2 linked regions of the Macaca fascicularis genome follow. Each later gene encodes a partner of the first gene's protein in a complex. Links are inferred from orthologs where the notes say so. Each region holds a gene or a part of one and is shown on either strand. Other genes may lie near its edges.

Region 1 (10,976 bases):
CCCGTACCACCCCTTTAAAAGAAGCACTGAAATCATATGAAGAAAATCATACATAAACCATAAAATACTGTGCATAGGGGAAGAATAATCTACTATTCCTAACTTCATAAATTATGAAAGCTTAAGTTATTTACATATTCATTCAATAAACATTTATACAGAAAAATGTGACTTCCATACTTCAAATGGTACATACCTAATTTTGTATGTAAATATTTTCCTCATCACTCCACTGAAACTACTCCCTACACAAAACAGAATGCTGATTTTTCTTCTTCCTTTCCGCCTACACAAAACAGAATGCTGATTTTTCTTCTTCCTTTCCGCCTTTATTGCCTCTTCATCTCCTCACCAATCACAATCAACTTAATTACTCCTTCTTTGTGGTTCCAAAATAGCCTTGATAGTGGCCAGCACAGTGAATGACAAACCTTCAGTGATGCTCAATAATATAGTGTTATTTCTGTTCAAACTTCTATTATAACTAATTTTATTCATGTCTGTATCTCTCATCAGGCTAGTGTTGGAGGGCAAGAATCCAGGCTTTCATTTTAAAATATAGCCTTCATATATCATTGTGATACATATATGATATTATACATAACTCCTAATAAGTAACAAAGTGGCCAAGTACTATCTGTGAAATTAGACTGGATTCTTCCTATGCTGTCCCTTGAAAGTGCCACCCATCTGTCTTCCAACCTTCACTCATACCATTCCAAGCTCAGGCCTCATCTCCTACACAACGTGTTCCGAAACCACACAAGACAATGCTGAGATTTTTCTAACGCTGTTAGGGAATATTTTATGGTACAGTACATTGTATAAAACACTCTTTGGTATTTATGTTTTCCTGAACCGAACACAACTTGTTCCAACTAGACAACAGACTCAACATCAAAGACCATGCCGACTTCTTGATTCATGCCCAATGAGTAAAGCATTTTTCAGGTAACTGGTACTCAATGTACTGATAGAATAAAATGTAATGTACAGCCGAGCTACATCCTGATGCAGAGCTGTTGTGACAGATGTTGTGACAGATGTTGCTGGTCAGCGCTGGCAGGCATCCTTAAAGGAGTAAGTGGCACGGCGCCTACACTCTCTGGTGATACAAAAAAAAAAAAAAGAAAGGTTGCTCATGGGGTGAGAGAACTGCATTCTACTTACATCAGGCAGCAGCTATCCTCCAACTCCTGGAACAAGAAAACGACAGAAACATGCAGACTGCTTTATAGGGTAGATGTGGAAACCAATGCCCTGGAAGTATAGTACTCTGACAAAGGTCACACAGAAATTCAGTGGCAGACCCTGCACTGACACCCAGGTTTCCTGCCTCGCAATCGAGAAGCCTTTACTACATCAAACTGCTTCTCTGATCAGGTACCTGAAAATAAATTACCACAAAGGGATGTGACCAATGAAGTCTTTTTGTCTTTAACTCAAACATGCCAATCACTGGAAAAACCCAGAAATACCTTTGTCACTCACAAAAATGTCACTCAAAGGAATTAGAAGTTCAGAGAAGAAACTGGGGAAGGTAAATGCTTTTCTGGATTCCTCTTCCTCTACCCACCTTGACTGTTCCCAGGTCCTCCTTCAGTCCGTTTTTCACTCCACACCCTCCTTTGGTGTTTGCATGCACAGCCTATAGCTTCAACCAGTACTTAATAGACTGAGAATTTCCAAATTGAAATCTGTTTGTTTTTTGTTTTTTTTTTTTTTTTTTAGCTCTTACCCTGTGTATTCAACTGCAATTTAGACATCTCCACCTATGTCCCCGGTCACCTTAAAAAAATAAAACTCAGCCTCATAAGGTCATCATTTCCCCTCTGCTCCAGCCAACCAGCAGCCCCGGCTTGTGGTCACCCTCTCACCTCAGTGAACAGCACCTCCTAGCCAGAAACCAGTGTCACATTGGGTTTCTTTCATTTCTCTTATCAAGTCTTTTCAATTCTCCCTCCTAAATATACTAGTTCTTGAACTCCACTCAAATCATCCTCCATATAGGGGATCTGCAAAGGTTTCTGACCACTCACCTTTATCACTAAAAAAATTCTAAGCATACATGTACCCAAAATACATGTAATTTATAAATTCAAATACGTGTACTTCTACAGCAATACAGTAAGATATAAATCATAATCAAAATTTTAAACTTTGAAGTGATGAGATCAACAAACATAATAGTAGACCTAAAATTTTCTTCCCATACTTCAGTGAGTCTTTTTACGCACCCCTGGAGATCAGGAACCTGCACTTTGAAATTATATACAATGAGACTGGTCCTACAAGAAATACATACATATATATGCTTGTGTGTATGTGTGTTTATATACATATGTATATGTACTGGAGGCAGCTTTTCTCATGCACACACATGTTTCATGAGGTGATATGCACATGTTTAAGCATATTGCTAAATATAGTTAACTCTACTTTCTAAAGTCACAAATCAAACGGCAAGTTTAAAGTCAGTTGACCTCTAAACACTCACAGCCACTTTTAAAGCAGTAACACATGTATAAAGTATAGTTTGGATCCTTTTGTACACAGCTCCTGAAAGAGAGAAATTTTTTTTCACCTACCGACAGACATATTGGAAGGCTGCTAATATTCTGACTTTTACGCACTGTACCCCCTTTAACCTGGGTACATACCATAATATTCTTTCAGTTTTCCACAGCTATAGATACCCCTAGCATGACACTTCAGGATTCAGAAGACGAATGTACCTTTCTGTATCTTAACCTCTCTACTCCACACTTCCCACCTCTGAAAAAACAACCAGCCAAATTCTCAGAACCTAGAACCAAGTCAGAGTAAACACTGCTAATACAATACAGACACTTACATATTTACCTGGCATAATCTCTAGGATTCCACCCACAACCTAACAGATCCTAACTCTCTCGTAGAGTGAGAAAATCTGCTAAAATCTGACAGAAGTCCAAATGAATCCTTTCAGATATATGTAGCTTGTTACATACTCAGAAAGTTAAGTTCTCGGAACTTGAAAGCTCTCTGAAACTTTTACAAGATGTTTCAGCTTATCACACTAGCAGCATGGTTAAGGGCAAACCAGAGCAGCTACAGAATATTAATGAATATTTTTTTCGGACAGAACACTGTACTACTCCCTGCTGTAAGCCACAACTTACTTATCAAGAAGTCAAACAATAAAGACATTAAAATCAGTGGCAAGCACTCTTAGAAAAACTGGCACCATGTTGTTTGACCACTTTTCATTATTATAGTATGACCATTTGTCCCCAGTGTCACTCCCAGAGTTAGGAAGAACACCAATGTAGAACTACATTTTCATTCGTGATGGTAATTTGGGGCTGATTTAAATTAAATTATACTGACCAGAAAGCTAAGAAGAAAGCTGCCTAATTGTTAAAATTACTAAATGCAGTGACTTTCAGAATTGTTGATTCCATGCATTTCATGTACAGAATGTTGAAGGTATTCAAAAATAACTTTAATACAGAACTTTACATTGTTAGGAAAATCACATAAAATTGTAGGTCTAGGTCTGAAGTCAACATAGATGAGTTAAACAGTCTATTTGCTTCCTTTTTACACAATTAAACTATTAACCACATTCTTTGTCCTTTTAGCTAGTATTCTAATAACATCTTCCACCTTCATACTCAATTTTGGGGTAAGTAAAATGGCTTTCCCCCCAAATGCCTGTAATCAAAATACCAATGTTTTTTATTTAACACTTCACCATCTTCAGTCACTTATATAATATTGATCAATGAGCCAACATTATTTAAAAATATGAGAATTACAGTGAGACTCTAAGTCCTGACCCCTCTGGGCCTTGATGTCCACAAATGAACAGGTAACTGCCAACTAAAGTTCCTTAATCATTTCTAAAAGTGGCCTATTGTATACCCTATCGTAAAGGGCATATGTGGTTTAAGAAAGATGTCTAAATTCCTCTAGAACGTTATTTTTGTAGCATCAGAAGTACAATAAGAAAAATAATAATAACCTAAGGGCCAGGCTCAGGGGGCTCAAGTCTGTAATCCCAACACTTTGGGAGCTCTAGGAGAGAGGACTGCTTGAGCCTAGGAGTTTGAGGCCAGCCTGGGCAGCATAGTGAAATCCTGTCTCTACAAAAAATTAAAAAATTAGCCGGGCATGGTGGCAGGCGCCTGTCGTTCCAGCTACTCAGGTGGCTGAGGTGGAAAAATAACTTAAGCACGAGAGGCTGAGGCTGCAGTGAGCTGTGATAGCTCCTCTGCACTCCAGCCTGGGCGACAGAGACCCTGTCTCAAAACAAAACAAAATAACCTAGCAATTCTATCCACCTGTTATCCATGTGGCACGTTGGCCCAAAGAAACCTTACTAATGATGTTACCAATTACCTTCCGAGAAATCTTTTTACTATAAAAGAAGGGCTGAAAAGCAGTCAATATTCATTGAGCATCTACTCTCAAGCTAAGTGTTTTACATTTTGCATTTGATTTTCACGACTATAGTTAGGAAGGTTACTTTTGGTTTAAACGTAGGCTCTGGAGCTAGACCCCATGCCTTCTCCAGGAGCTCCCGATGACCATATGCAACTTACTTTTTGCTCCCTGTGCCTCCGTTTCTTCACTCGGAAAATGGAAATAGAAACAGTAGCAATCTCATTAGAGCAGTTCCAGAATTAAATAATACACATGAAATGCCTAGAGCTAAACCTGGCCCTCGCTGTCATTGTTATAAAAATGAATTATTAGTGTAGGTAGTATTGTTCCTATTTCACAGATGAGGAAACGGAAGCTTAGAGAATGCAATTTACTAATGATCATACCAATGAGTGCAAAGCTTTGGACTTAAAAGCACGAATTTGATTAAATGAAAGTTACTTAGAGAGTGGGAGTCTCATAAATCCAATTTATGAAGCCTAAGAAATGACACGCGGTAAAAATGATACTAGACACAGGACGGGCTCTCAGGCTCGCGGACCGGGTCTGAGCGCAAAGTGGCCGTGGCCCTGTGTCCTGGTCCCGGGGTGCCCGGCAGGGGCCGGCGACTCTTGACTTCCCGGCATTCGCGTTTATAAACACCGGGAAGTGAACTGCACTGCCGCCGCCGCGCCCCCGGTCCCCAGCGGCTCCGCGAGGCCACTTTCTATCCCGGCTCCAGTCGGAGAAGACCAGTCCCAACAGCGGGCGCCGACGGCCGGCTCGACGCTGCTCCAAAAACAGCAGCCAGCGAGGGAGCGAGAGACAAAGGCGCAGGACCAGTCCAGGGGCGCGCTGAGTCCTAAACGCCGAGCCCCGGGTGGCCTCGCTGGCTCCCACCTGCGCTCGCCCAGCCTGGCGGGAGACCGCAGGTGTCAGGAGCCGCTCAGGCCCGGTCCTCCGCAGCTCCAGCAGCCCCGACGTGACAGCGCCCAGGCCCGCGACCCTAGCGCTCGGAACGCGGCTGGGCCGACTCGGCGCCCGGACGCTGCCAGCGCCTGGGACCCGAGGGGGGTGGCGGTGTGCGGACTTCCTCCCGGACTAGCCTGGAATCCCGCCCCAGCCCCCACCGGCCCGCGGCCGCCCCCGCCCCCGCCCCCACGCCTGGCACAAAGGTCCCGGCGCGGCCCGGGCCGGCGGCTGTTAAGTGCTGTTGCGCACCGCAGACCCGAGGCCGCGGCCCGCACCCCCACACCCGAGGCCCGCCGGCGCCTACCTTCTCCGCGCGGCGTCCGGGCCCCGGCGCGGTGGGCTCCGGCCTGCTGTTCCGCGACTCCCGCTCGGCCTCTCCTGCGGGCTGGCGGGGCCTCCCGAGTCTCGGGCGCGGCGGGTGGCGGCGGCTCCTCCTCCTCAGGGGCGGGAGGAGGGGACTCGGCGGCCCAGAGCCGCCCCCCGGCAGGAAACCAGCCGCGGCCCCGCCTCCTCTGCGCGTCTGATCCCGCTCCCGAGGCCGCCACCGCCCTCTCCCTCCGGAAACGCATTCCTCTCCCGCCGCGTCAGCCCGGCCCCGGGGCGAGGAGGAGGCGCAGGAGGAGGCAGGAAGCGCGACCGGGACAAAGGAACTGGCCCGCTCGGGAGCGCGCCTGAGGGAGGCCGTGGAGGGCAGGGCCGGGACTCCGCTGAGACAGTCGCCATGCCTCAGTTTCCTCCTCTGTGAAGGGCGGGAGGGGTCGGTTGCGCCCTAAAGCCCCGCGCGTTCCTGGTGTAGCCTGCTGGGCCCGTGTTCTTTAAGTTCCGCTTCCTCGGATCCGCGTGTCCGACCCTCCCTCCCGTTTGTCCACTGATGTCCCGTTGAGAGCCCGGGAGGTCCTGCATCCCGGAAGCCCCCTCAGTCCCGAGGCAAATCGGTACCATGAACCCCCCCATACCCTGCAGGACTCCATGGGGCCAAAAACCACGTGGTCATTCTGGAAGGGAACTGGCTAAGCCAGGACTGCTTTTCTGGAGTGATAATGTGCTAGCGTGTGTCTAAGAGAAAGGTGAAGACTTGGGAAACCCGTGGGTGCCACGAAGGGTGGTGGGACTGGGGAACGTTTTAGAAAACCTGGTGAGTTGGGTCCTGCTTTTGATAGATTTATCTGGAGGTCCCTTTATGGGGAACAGGGATGAGAAGGAAAAGTTTCTTCCTACGGAGTAGAGTTTCTGTTTCAAACCTCTTTAAAAAAGAAAAAAAAAAAGGAGATGGGGGCTGGAAACAGAACGTTTGAAAGAGAAGGAAACATTCATTATGAGAATGGCTGGGCGCATGTCGATTCGATGATTGAAGTTCGTACCAACCAACATCATACTGAAACCCAGTAATTTCAGTATACGCTGCTGGCAAGCTGCTATCCTGGTAGCAGAAAATGTTGTAGGTTCCACTTGGTGAGCTGCAGCACCCTGTTGGGAAAAGAGCTCAAAAATTACCAGATTTATGAAACTGAGAAGAATCTTGCAGGAGATGAGGGGCTGGAACGCCCATTTGGCTGCTGCCAATCTAAAATATAAGAGAAAATGAGGCGATCACATCTAAGAAAATTTGCACATTACTTACCAGCAAAATCAAAACTATTGGTTAGCCAATGTCTGCAGACCTCTAGGAAATAAGCACTATTTTTCCCGCTTAATGGATGTTCAAGCTTAAGAGGCTAAATGATGTTCCTATGTTAATATCTCAATGGTCAAACTGCCATTAGAACACAACATTCTTGAATTTTAAAGGTATGGATTTTACCATTGTTGAGAATTCATCAGAATTAGCCCAGTCTCATTACAGAAAACTGTATAGTTCAAAAGCATAATTGGTCCATGCCTGATTTGCACTACAATTCTCAGAATTTTTTCTCCTGTATATGACTGGTGGAGGCACTGGCTAATCTTTGCTACAAGAACATTATGAGGTTTACATATGCACAACTCTAAACTAAATTAGTTCCTCCAGGGCAATTTACTGACCTTTTTAACACCACTGTCGAGCACTGTTGTGAGGACACATAATAGGGGCTCAGATAATATCTGATAAATGAATAAATGGGTCCTGTTGCTCTCCCGGGACTTGACTAAACTGATGTGTGAGGTAGCAATTTGTGTACAGAAGTCACGAGTTTTGAGGAAAAAGAAATTAAAGAAACATGTTCTCTAAGAAAAGCAGTGATCGGTCAAGAGTACGAGTCTACTTGTGATTTCATACAAATAATGGGTGGACAGTGAGCTAACTATGAAATTTATGAATAAGCAAAGATTGGTCAGCATACGTGCTAAACAGGAAATCCTGGTAAGTAGGAATACTGCAAGCCACATTGCTAGATCTTATCATATTAGGTTGGTGCAAGGTCTACCAGATGTCTCTTGCCTTCCCATGTGTAAGATCAACCAGATAGCTCTCACCTTTCCATGTTTAAGGTCAATCAGAGGGCTCTTGCCTTCCCATGTCTAAGGTCAACCAGATGGCTGCATGCACCAACCTAATAAAACATCATTAGTGTCTTGAATTCAAGACAAATCCATACTTTACCTACATTGTCTCCCAATTATTATCAATTGTCTTCTGCCATCTTTTAAGTCATTATTATGTCAAATAATTAAAGTTGATGTTTCCTTTAGTTTTGTCACTGGTGATATTACTACTTGCTCTTCAAAATGTATCTTTATTCACCTAACATTTTCCAAAGTAAAGTTTCAAAGTTGCTCAGCAAGAAAGACATTATTGGATGCCTAGGTTTTTATTAGTTTGACTTATATTATTATTGATTAGCACCCCTTTTCCCTCTCAAAAGTATGTCCTAGTATAGATGATAACTTATATGATCATTCTATAAAGAACAGTGTCCAGATAATAAGGAATAAGAAGAATAATTTTAGAAATTCAAAAGAGATTCATGATATATTGCAAATCAGGTTCCAGGTTTACAGAGGAAGACTAATTTCAACATTGGTGATAGTAAGGGGAAAATGTGAGTTGCAGCATGGGGGTGAGTATGAAGAATTAGGCAGTTGCTGTGTGATGAAAATGCCCTACTAGGAGATTTTGTTAAGAAAAAAGTCTTGACAGTCCCCTGGCTGATCAATGGGACTTGGATTTTAAATACCATTGTATAATAAATGTATGCGATGACTTTGGAGCAAATTGATTGACAACGGCTAGGTAAGTCTTCAGCCACTTTTCTAACGACTGTTTCTGTAGACTAAGCTAGATATATTTTTCTCATCTGTCACTTCCAGTTTCTTTGAATGTAACTCCTTTAAACATTAAACAAAGAAAAAGATGAAGGGATAGGGATGGAAGGAATAGAGGTCTCTGATAACATCATGTAATACTAACATAGAAGTGCTTCTGAATCATGAATAACTCCATTCCTTTACCTGAGAAACTAAAATCACTGTTGTAAAATGTGAATCTGCTACTCAGGAGGCTCAGGCAGGAGGATTGCTGGAGATCAGGAGTTGGAGACCAGACTGAGCAACATAGTGAGACCACTGCCCCCACCGACCCCAGGCCCCAACTGAAAAATGAAGAATAAAATTACCCAGGTGTGGTGGTGCATGTGTGTAGTCCCGGCTGCTCAGGAGGCTGAGGTGGGAGGATCTCTTGAGCCCAGGAGCTATGATCATGCCACTGTAGTCCAGCCTGGACAACACAGTGAGACCCATCTCTAAAAATGTGAATCTGTGTGTATTGGTGTAAAGCAGCCCTGGGAATTATTGACATTTTGAAAAACAAGAAGGGGTGAGACGGTCCTGCCAGTTCCTCCTTTTTCAGTCTCCATATGTATAAATAACATGCAAATAGTCATATAATGCAGAGAAACTGGAAGTGTATTGAATTTGCAACTTGTTTTTTTTTTTTTTTTTTTGCTTGAGGGCTTCAATTTAGTGAGCACTCTTCTATACTCATAACGGAGTATTGCCAGAGGAACTGTAAAAAATTAAGTTTGCTATCAGGCAACCAGCAATTGACTAGGTATGGCATGTGTCAGTGTATCCACCAGGCTGTACTGAGGCTTCATTTCTTTGCTTATTTGAAAATAAGGTGGAAAATGGCACAACAGTCTGACCTGATTTGCAATGTGTCCCTTAGAGCTTAGGCTAGCCATTCAGCCTTTTCCTTTTCTAGGTAACTAACAGTGGCTGGACTATGGCTTTGAATATGGGTCACAGATGAGTAAGGCTTCCTCAACTTGTTCTGCTTCCTGTTTTCCATATATAGGGGCCCCATTTTTCCTTTTCGAGTCCACACAGCATTGCCTCCAATGGGTGTGAGCATTCCTTACCAGCATTCAGATGCTGAACATTTTTAACAGCCTATGGGGAACAGTCTTTTAGGCAGCTCTTTTCAAACACTGAGTTTCTTCAGCTGTGGAAGGGAATGTCCTTCCCAAATAAGAATTAAAAAAATGCCCAATATAAGCAATTGACTAGCACTGGAGTTATTTTTAGGAACCAGGGTCACTCATTACAGGAAATGATTGTGTTGCCAATGTGTTACAGCTAGTGACTATAAAAAATATTATTTCTTTCCTCATTTAACTGCATCTTGAGGAAAGTTAGCAGTTGCAATTTTAAGTTAGGAACAGCTCAATTTCAGGCCAGGTACATTAGGGAGTAGGAAGGATACTTTTCACTTAAAAAAAGGCATTTGGGGTAAGTAAGAACATCTTCCCTGCACCTCCCTCCCACCCTCTTCCCCTAGAACACACAAATTAATCCCCACAACATACTATCTTAGGCCGAGTTCTTGCCTCATGCCTATGAACGGGATACTATGAAACCCCTAAAATTCTAGACAGAATTTTACTTATATATCTGCATTGTTGTGTTTTGAATGAGATCTTAACAACAAAACATTAAGAATAACTATTTTAAGCACTTACACGATTAGTTCTTTTAGAGACTACATGCCTAAACAAATGTCTCTGTGGTTGCCCTGGAACTGTGAGTTGTATATTGATTAGTCTTATCTAAAACAATATTTAAACCATCAGATAGTGCTTCCAAATATTTTCTTATAACATGATTGTCACTGCATGTTATTTAACCTTTAAGAGGTAGAACAGAAAAAGCAGAATCTTTTGTGATCGAACCGCACAACTAAAGCGTATGCTGTTTATGTCTACTTTTCAAGGTAAGATAAACTTCAAGGAGAAACGAACTTTTAATTTCAAATTCCAATTTACGTATTAGGACTTAAATGACTTCAAATCATGTCTAAAAATCACCGTAACTAAAACCATTGTAAATTTTTACTTAAATTGGGAATAAAAATAAATAAATGTTAAGCATATTTCCTAGTAATATTTGTCATGCAGCATTTGGAAGAGCAAGTCCTGTGACGCTTCTACTTTAAGATTTCTGCATTGTTGTTGGCTGATGTCATAGGCTGTTCCCTTTATGACCACAAGAATTCCCTATTTAGAACTGCTTATGGCTGCCGTTGGGTAAACTTTCAAGTTGAAAGAATTTTGCATTTTGTGTTATTGTACTAAACTGAAATAATCTTAATCTGAAGAGTTTTGATAGTTAATATTAGAATA
Region 2 (9,986 bases), on another chromosome or scaffold:
TCTCATTAATGTAATCAGTTTGTACTATTTGTGCCTCAACACAAAATATCTTTCCCCAATGTCATATAAATGATCTGTCATCTTTTAAAAGTTGTGTGGTTTTGCCGTTCACATCCAAGACTTTGACCCATTTGGAATCGATTTGGACTTCTACATATAGGTATGAGGTTGTAGTCCAAATTCTTGCTTTGTAAAGATAAGCACCAGCACCATTCACCCGGAAGCCCTTTTGTTTTGTCCCAATCTGCATGGCCAGCTCTGAGAAACCAAGTGTCTGTATGTGCGCAGATATATTCTGGAGTTTCTGTTTGAATTCTCTAGTTGTTTTATTGATCTCTGTGCCAACGCTACACTTTCAATATACTTTACACTACTTGTTATCTAGTAAGGCGAGTCCCCTCACCTATTGTTTAGGAATGTTTTGGCTATCCTGGCCCCTTGCTCTTCTGTTTTCCCAGTGTTCCTTCTAATTGGATTTATAATATGGCCAGCAAGACATAAACAAGGTTGTTTAAATACACCGACCCGTAAACCTGACAGTAAATGTGTTCACTTGAATCTCACTTGTCATAAAGGTCACAAAATTGAGATCTGAGATGAGAATTTTATGCTCAGACCTCCTCTTTATCATGCAGTATCTGCAAACCGTATTAATACAGATACGATTTTAAACTTGTTTGGTTGGCTGTGCCGTTTTTAATCACAAATTTAATTAACATTGAACTTGGACCACTTCCCTGAGCAGTAAGACAGATAATGCCTGGCCAGTGAAGCCACATGAGACTATAATTAGATTTCATGAAACAATGGTCTCAAATTATTTTAAGTGCTTGTAATTTTTAGTAATATGCAGGCCCATGAACAAACATCAAAAGGGAAACCCAATTGAGTGTGTGTGTGAGTGTGTGTGTGTGTGTGTGTGTGTGTGTGTGTGTGTCTGCTGATAACTGTTTCTTTAGGGAATTTTAATGTACACATTCAGCCTGGGAAACTTTGTACTGTTTATTAAATAAAGCAGAGAAAACAAGAGAGGATCAACACAGCAGGAAATAAGGTCACCAGATAAGGCTTTTTGGCTACTGCTTCCTGTTCTGGGTAGCTCTGCAATTCACTCTGAGAATTTTACTCCCTTTACCCAGATTGCAAATTTCCCATTTCCTGTCACTTATCTCTGCCACCTCCCTCATTCTTGAGCTGCCAGACCAAAACAGTTCAAACAGATAAAGGCACAGTTAATTTGTTGAAGAGAACAGAGCTCTCCAGTAAACAACTTTTTCCTGGATCTTACTTTGTAGAGATGACTGGAAATATATCAGCAGAGTAAGAGTTGGATCAGCTTATTGTACTATGTTCATTAGGTCTACACCAATGTAGCAAGTCAACTCATCCTTGCCTTTCTTCCACCATTTATAGGACAAAAAGAGGTGACGATGCAATAGCTCCAAAAACATTTTGTGAGTGATGGATTTTTAACTCAGTGTATGTTTTTAGAATTAAGGAGAGAGAAGATGGCAGCTATGCAGGGTTATCCATTCAGTATCAGTGATGTGTGGTATGTCACAAAGGGATGGATTTCAGAAAGCCCTATGCTCAGACTTTCTGAATTATTGAAGTGATGAGTGAAGACGTTAACATGTTTTAAGTGATGAGTGTAAAACAGCTGTATCATTTATCAAACTTAGTTATAAGGGTGGCTGTGCACAGTGGCTCATGCCTGTAATCCCAGTGCTTTGGGAGGCTGAAGAGGGAGGATCATCTGAGGTCAGGAGTTTGAGACCAGCCTGGCCAACAAGGCGAAACCCTGTCTCTACTAAAAATACAAAAATTAGTCAGGCGTGGTGGTGGGTGCCTGTAATCCCATGTACTCAGGAGGCTGAAGCAGGAGAACTGCTTGAACCCAGGAGGTGGAGGTTGCAGTGAGCTGAGATTGCACCACTGCACTCCACCCTGGGCGAGAGTGACACTGTTTCAAAAACAAGCCCAAAATGAAAAAACTTAGTTTTAAGGAATAGATATTATGATCTCACTGCATCACTAACTGATCATTAAAAGCATCTTAAATAAGATTCAACATTTTTTTAAAAAGTAGAAATACAGTATACAGAATAACAGTATAGTCTGTGACATACTTGCTTTTTGTCCTCTGTAAGAGTAGAGGGTCAAGAATGGCAAGTAGCTTTTCCTTGATAAAGTTCGTGTCTCTAGCTCCTTGACTTTGAAAGTTCAAGGCATGTAAAATACAATTTGTACTGAGTTGAGATTACTGATTAACTACGTCACCATCAGGGGCTTCCAGCAGGTTTTTTTTTTTTTTTTTTTTTTTGAGATGGAGTCTCACTCTGTCGCCCAGGCTGGAGTGCAGTGGCGCAATCTCAGTTCACTGCAACCTCCACCTCCTGGGTTCAAGCCATTCTCTTGCCTCAGCCTCCTGAGTAGTTGGGGCTAATTTTTGTATTTTTAGTAGAGACGGGGTTTCACCATGTTGGCCAGGATGGTCTCAATCTTTTGACCTCGGCCTCCCAAAGTGCTGGGATTACAGGCGTGAGCCACCGTGCCCGGCCAGGGGCTTCCAGCAGGTTTCTAACCTGCTGATCTAAGGTAAAAAGTTGGATGGGAGCTAGGTTGGGGTCCTGTCACCAGTGCTTTCATATCCACATGAGCTTGAGTCACATGGAGCAGAAAGCTGAACCTAGGTCTCTGAGTCCCAGCTGGTGTTCTCACAGACCTATGTTCTCTCTAGAGAGGTCACTACTAATGGTGTTCTCAGAATTCATGTAAGGTTTGTTTTTACTACTACTAGATAGGAAGATGATTGGCCTTGGCAGTAATCATAGATGTCTGACTTTAAACAGGTCAGTTGGCCTCCTCTAGCTTCATCTATAAAATGATGAGGCTGGACTGTATGCATCCTTGAGAGAATATGAGTACTTAGCATGCTTCCTATTGCATAGTTGGTGTCCAAAAAAAAAGAGTTAGTTTGCTCTGTATTAAACTATACTGAGGCTACACAAACTCTTAGTTCTAATAATAATTCCTTTGGTTATTTGGTTTGGTTAATAATTTTGTTATTTCCAAAATAACCATCATTATATTCAATAAACCCATGTGTAAGTGATCCTAAGTAGGAACCATAGCACTGAGATCCAGTCCTCAAGGATGTAATGATTTGGATACTCTAGTTCCACAGAAGGACCAAATTCAACCAAATCCTCAAACATGTAATAATTTGTTAGGGGCGACATGATATACTCAACCATAATAAGGATGATCACTCTTTAGTTCCGCAGAAGGACCAAATTCAATGGCAGTTCAGAAGAGGAAGAGAGTTTTTTGGCTGCAAGGAAACTTGAAAGTGTTTATAGAAGAAAGAACACTTGAGTTTTTTTCTTTTTTTTTTTTTGGGATGGAGTCTCACTTTGTCACCCAGGCTGGAGTGCAGTGGTGAAATCTTGGCTCACTGTAACCTCCGCCTCCTGGGTTCAAGCGATACTCCTGCCTTAGCCTCCCAAGTAGCTGGGACTACAGGTGCGCACTACCATGCCCGACTAATTTTTCTATTTTTAGTAGAGACGGGGTTTCATCATGTTGGCCAGGATGGTCTTGATCTCTTGACCTCATGATCCTCCTACCTCAGCCCCCAAAGTGCTGGGATTACAGGCATAAGCCACTATGCCTGGCTTTTTTTTTTTTTTTGAGATGGAGTGTTACTCTGTTGCCCAGACTGGAGTGCAGTGGCACAATCTCAACTCGCTGCAACCTCCACCTCCCAGGTTCAAGCAATTCTCCTGCCTCAGACTCCCCAGTAGCTGGGATTACAAGTGTGTGCCACCATGCCCAGCTAATTTTTGTATTTCTAGTAGAGACGGGGTTTCACCATCTTGACCAGGATGGTCTTGAACTCCTGACCTCGTGACCTACCTACCTCAGGCTCCCAAAATGCTGGGATTACAGGTGTGACCCACTGTGCCAGGCCCACTTGACCTTTTTCTAAAATGCTAGACAGATGAGGTGTAGACAGGTACAAACTGTACGAAGGTCCAGGACTAGACATTCCAGACTTGGGGAATGATAGGGAGATGGGATGAGTGCAAAGTGGAGAATGTGAGCTGCCCAGCTGGACTGCAATGCAGATTGTTGGGAGATAAGGATGAAAATGTGGGCTGGGAAACCATACAAAACCTCTGAGCACTTTACTTTGGCTTTTATCCTGTAGGCAATAAGAAGTCATTAGAGCTGAAATGCAGTCAGTGCTATGTTGGGGCTGGATTAATCTCAAAATCACTGGGAGGGCAGCAGGGCAAACTAGAAGTGGGGCAATCAGCACAGAGGCTATTCTCACTTGCGTGGAGGCCATGGGACTAGAAAGCACTTGAATAGGTGTGGTTTCAATGAATGTTTTGGGGCTTTCGGTAGGTGACATGCAAGTTGCTGAATATTCAAGTTGGTGACTTGCACAGTCACTTACTAAAGATGAGGAAAGGGAGTATATTTTAAAATGTTTAGTGGAAAGGTGCTCTTAAATTTTGGAGCAAGGCCTGTTATGGCTTTAGAGTGCAAAGAAAAGTCATGGAGAATGTGATCTCAGCCTTGTCTTAAGATGGTGCCACACTACAGCAGGCACAGGACAAAGAACTGAATTTGGATGATGGTGGCAGCAATAACAAAAGATGCAAGGCTGTGTGAGGGGAAAATCAGGAATTGGTCTACATGCAAAGGGTAAAGGACTAAAAAGTCTTGAGTCTTGAATGATGACAGCAGTAATGACTGGCAGTAAATTCGTAAACGTATTTTTTTTTGTAAAACAAGAATAATTTTGTTATTTAAAACAAATTCTGCCACAGCCAACTTCTATTTATAAGTACATTTCTAACATTTAGGTATTACACATTCATTTTTAAGTGTTAAGAAAATGAGGGCTTTTCAATTGAGGCGAAAGACTATCTTTGAGATAAAGTGTGTCTATCTGGCGATGATGTGGAATACTAACCCGTTGTTCTCACAAAATAACAACATGTAGGCAAAGCATTTCCAAAAGGCAGAAGTTCATTTCTACTAAATTGATACTATGTAAACATTAAAAACAAGTACAAAAATAACTATTAAATAAAAGTTTTGCTTTTATTTAAAATAAAATGCATTTATACAGTCTTTGAACCATGGATTATTGAACAATACTGGTAATCCACCTCTCCCTCGCACCCTTTTGGGCTATGTGAGCTAGGAATTTTCTGACTAGCACCAATACAGATTGTAACAGCGCAACAGACTAGAACATGGCCAGTCCAGGCATTAGAGTTAAGGACATTGTGGCAAATCATCATAATGAAGTCATTCTTAATTTAGTAGATATTAAAACTGCACATTAATTATATCTCTTAAAGGCATTTAATTAATGCAGAGATGCTACATTTAAGCCATTTGCTAGTTGTGAGTAGTTTTTAAAAAACTGTACAATTTTATAAAATTTGTGTTTGTACATTAGTTACACAAAATGCATACTTCATAGAACTTTACTTCATATTGTAATGCAAAGAGTTGCATATTTTAGGCAGACAGTGATTATGCTGGTGAATACTAAAAGTGTAATACAATATGGTGTAAAAATAAAAACACAAGACAATATACATAACATGCTTATTCAAGGACAAAAACAAATCAAGCACGACAGACTAATAGCATTTTCCTTCAAGGTCAAACACAATGACATTATTAAACATCAGGCCTCCTGCAGGCCTGATTTATTTGGGGGTGAGGGGAAGGAATTAAATGGCTACCAGAAGTAGGATATTTTAAAACATGATATCAAATTAAACATACATTAAAACACATGCATTAGACATGATAAATAGAGTTCATATAGGTTAAGGCCTGGATAGCTTTAAAATAGATGGCTTGTTTCTTACAGTTTGGCTAGCTTAAATCAGTGATGGTCTGTTCCTGATTTGCCCACTATTTCAGTTTTAAATTCATGGCCCTAAGGAATGTGTGCCAAATTCAAGTTTATTATATCCTGATAGATTAATAGTCGTGCTTGTTTAGTGCACATATTAACTGGTCTGGTAAGGCAAAGAAGTTTTCATGATAAAACGATAAATTTCAAGCTTACTTTATTAAGCAGCATATAACAAACAGCTTTTAAAGTTAAATATTGTTATGGCCGTGGAGTTTCATTAAACAGTATTTCTATTCACACCCAACCACTGGTAAGTTTGTAGAACATCTCTTCATCTAAACTCTCATTTTGGTCTTTTGCACGTGTTGAGAGAAATATGTAGCCACCAATGAATTCATGAACCACTTTGCAATCTACTTCAGTACAAATGAAGGACAATCGTACTTCATCTGCAAACTCTACGGTGACCTGGAACAAAGACAAGAATCATCAGTGCTGTCCCGAATGCCAGGTGGCGGGGTCCACACAAAACGACTCACACAACTACTGCGCTACTTAAAGCCGGTCCCATCAGAAAACACTTGTTGATCCTCAAATAATTAGTCTGTTTAAAACCTAAACTAGTAATGCCTTTAAGTCCCAAAGAAGAAGTTAAGTTTATTGCCCTTCCCCTACCCTTTTTTAAGTTTTCATGTTCTGAAAAGGAAGACTAGGAATGCAAGGGTTTTAGGTCATTCAGTTCTCAAATGGTCTCTGACGATTCAATTAACGAGAATGCCTCTCTTCAAGTCCTGGAGGAAAGCCTCCTTCCTGTGTTTTAATATTTGCTTCAGCTATTTAAACTTTAGGTATCACGTTTGAGTATTTCAGAAATATAAGATTCTTTGAAGTAACATGAATTGATACAATAAATCCAATATGATCCTAAACCAAATGACTTATTAGTAAAAGATTGTTCAATTTAAATGATATTTGTGTACTCCAAGACCAGGGGCAACATGATGTACAGTGGTAAATGTGCCAGGTTTTTAAGCCTAAAGCATCTGAGTTTGAAATGACTCTGTAGTTACTTTGTGCGTGGTCATAGACAATGGTGGCCCTCAAGCCTCTATATTGCAGTGTCTTCATTTGTAACGTACGGTAATCCAACTACCTTAAAAGGCTGTGATGAGGTTTTGAGATGGGGTACTAATGTAAGCCTCCAGTATCATGTCTGGCACAGGGTAGGCATTCAACAAATAGTAGTTGCTATTTCGGAGTAGAAGGGCTTTATCCATTACAGAAAGACAAAAAGGGCAACATTCTAAGCAAATTATATGCTTAGAATTTTAGTAACTGGGCTAATTATGAAATAGGCAAATTTAAGTGAGAAATGAATAGTCAACCATGGTCTGTCTGTACTTTAAGAGGTGGTGGTACAAACAATCATCAGAATTTATAGGCCTTTTTATTCCTAATATGCTAATTTGTATCAGAAGAACTATATTCAAGTAACATTGGGACGAGTTTACCATTTTGATTTCCCAGTTGACATTCCACTGTTTCATGTTGCTGAAACGCCATGTTTTAATTGCATCTCCGGTGCTGGCATCCATCCGAATCAGTCTGTTGTATGCAATTCCAATAAGTTCTTCTTTTTTGCCCCCTTGGAACCTATAATATTTAAGAAAAGAACAGTTACAACATGTCGTGGGGGAACATGTTGGACTGCTTTTCTTCAAGGTAAGTGTTCTCCAACCCTAAAAGAGTGCTATTCCCTTAGTAGTAAAACAAACACAATTATCTTGAATTTTTAATGTAGAAATTAAAAGCTTACAAAATACATTCTAACAGTCTTTGAATTCTACTGTAATATGAGTTAATGGGTCTACATAGGTATGCTTTAAATGTTTAATATCTAATTACATGACATAGATGAAGCAAAAATGCAGATTAAGGTTTACACATAGATGCTTAGAACCACTGACCTTGCAATGAAGTGTGTGATGCCAAATTCAGGTAATGACTGCCAAGCTTGAATAAATCTCATCTTGGCTTCAATTAGACTCATCTGAGCTACATTCTGATGGGCCTCCAAGATTCTCGCTGTTATCTAAACATGATTAAACATCACCTTTACCATTGAACATTATTCTCTCATGGGACAATCGAGACAAAAGATCAAAAGATTGAATTACGTACCCCGTACCCCAAAATCACATTGTAAGAGTTGAAATCAAAATATCTGAAGCTACATTTGGAAATTTTAATAATTATTATATAATGATTTTTCAAAATAAGTCTTAATTTCAGTTTTCATATATCAACAAAAAGTACTATTAGGAGTACACAGTTGCCACACTTGAGACATATTTCAAATGCATACAGATAATGGTACTACTATTATAGAACAGCACATTCTAATCCACATATAGATGAGTTTTAATTAAATTTAGCACTATGTCTATAATCAGAATGAATACCTGGAATACAAGTTTCTAGCAGGATTATCTGTTAGCAGCTTTAAGGTACTTGAAATCACCGTAATCATTTTTATTTTAAATTTCACTACGGGAGTAAATTCCATGAGGGAAGGTTGTGGCTATGAATTTTTTTTTATTCTTCTTTTTCTTTTTTGGTAAATATGGAGAACTTACCAAATCTCTTACATAGCCTGGCTGTAGATGGCAATGCGAGGAAAGAAAAAGGAAGCAGAAAGAAAAAAAAAGGCAATCAGAAAAAATGGCAATGAAGCAAAGAAAAAGTTGCGGTCACCTGCAAACCAAAATTCCAGCCAAAAGTCATGCAAAAAACTACTTTAGGTAGAAACCAAGCAAAGTAAATGCAAGAATGAAAAATGAAAATGAGGAAGCAGCAATTACTTTCCATTTAGAACACTGAGAAACACTCCACATTATTTTAGAATGTTAAATGTTACTAAAGAACCTAAGGGTAGAAATTTGTAGGGAGAAAATAAAAAGAGCAAATATTTCTTTCCCCCTACATCATGTACCCAGTTCTCACTGGTTAGGATAAAGCCAATTATTTTAGTAGCAAAATAAAAGTATTCAAAAGCCTTTAAAGTATTCTCAGATTTAGTCAGATAATATGATCCATGCACTGCTTTTCAGAAATAAGAATTTGAAGGCATAAAATAAGTGCAGTGCCCATCTGTTTTTTTTTTTTTACACAAGAAAAGCAAACCCCTCAGTTACCATGTGTTTTTTGCATCCTTTTTCCTGGAAGGGAAAATAAAGAGATGCCGTATACTACATGAGGAATTTCGGCTTTATGGCATTAGTCATTTCCATTTAGATTAACATAAATCAACATATAGAATAATTCTTCAAAATTTAAAAAGCCAGTTTGAGAGTCATATTTGTTTAAAAATACCCATAGAGTATTTAGTTAATATATGTATAATTGAAGGGAATTAAAGTAGGTTAAATACAACAGGTTATTTTGATAGACCCAAAAGAAAACTACCAGTCGATATGCCCTGGAAGGGAAGAATGTCCTTGTGGCCTGCACATCTTCCTACAGACTCCAGAATGCAACTGGATATAGCTTAATAATTACTGAGCACTACGTCCAGTGTGACTAGTGTGGTGTCTGACACACAGTAGCAACTAAGCTTCTGAGGATCACTACTTACTAGGCGCCAGGGCAGTAATATCTGGAAACAATTTTCTTTTTTTCCTGAGACAGAGTTTCACTCTTATTGCCCAGGCTGGAGTGTGATGGCTCACTGCAACCTCCGCCTCCCAGGTACAGGCGATTCTCCTGCCTCAGCCTCCCCAGTAGCTGGCATTATAGGCATGCACACCACCATGCCTGGCTAATTTTTGTATTTTTAGTAGAGATGGGGTTTCACCATGTTGGCCAGGCTGGTCTCAAACTCTTGACCTCAAGTGATCCGCCTGCCTCGGCCTCTCAAAGTGCTGGGATTACAGGCGTGAGCCACTGTGCCTGGCCAACAATTTGTAAGTCTATTCCAGCAAAGTGTGGTGGCTCACGCCTGTAATCCCAGTGCTTTGGGAGGCCAAGGCAGGCGGATCACTTGAGCTCAAGAGTTTGAGACCAGCCTAAGCAACATAGCGAGAGCTCGTCTCTA

What was found. The genes of interacting proteins can lie anywhere in the genome.
Region 2: the proteins of ITGB1 (region 1) and FERMT2 are in contact, whole or in part, in a crystal structure (PDB 8TEE), measured with the Mus musculus proteins. The link is inferred for Macaca fascicularis from reciprocal best matches to the Homo sapiens genes ITGB1 and FERMT2. Residues at the interface, in NP_034708.1 of Mus musculus: Ala786, Val787, Thr788, Thr789, Val790, Val791, Asn792, Pro793, Tyr795, Glu796, Gly797; in NP_666166.2 of Mus musculus: Phe609, Ser610, Asn611, Met612, Lys613, Gln614, Trp615, Asn616, Val617, Asn618, Trp619, Glu620, Ala629, Asp630, His647, Ile654, Ser657, Thr658, Lys674, Leu675, Ser677, Gly678.

What each region holds. Positions count from the first base shown.
Region 1 is NC_088383.1:33,706,463-33,717,438, forward strand, and holds the start of ITGB1 (integrin beta-1), read right to left. Parts: upstream 5,787-10,976; 5' UTR 5,684-5,786; intron 5,511-5,683; exon of another isoform or gene 4,587-5,510; intron 1-4,586.
Region 2 is NC_088381.1:120,694,622-120,704,607, forward strand, and holds the end of FERMT2 (fermitin family homolog 2), read right to left. Parts: intron 9,112-9,986; coding exon 9,088-9,111; intron 8,551-9,087; coding exon 8,530-8,550; intron 7,986-8,529; coding exon 7,861-7,985; intron 7,547-7,860; coding exon 7,405-7,546; intron 6,362-7,404; coding exon 6,188-6,361; 3' UTR 5,100-6,187; downstream 1-5,099. UniProt on the Homo sapiens protein: Scaffolding protein that enhances integrin activation mediated by TLN1 and/or TLN2, but activates integrins only weakly by itself. Binds to membranes enriched in phosphoinositides.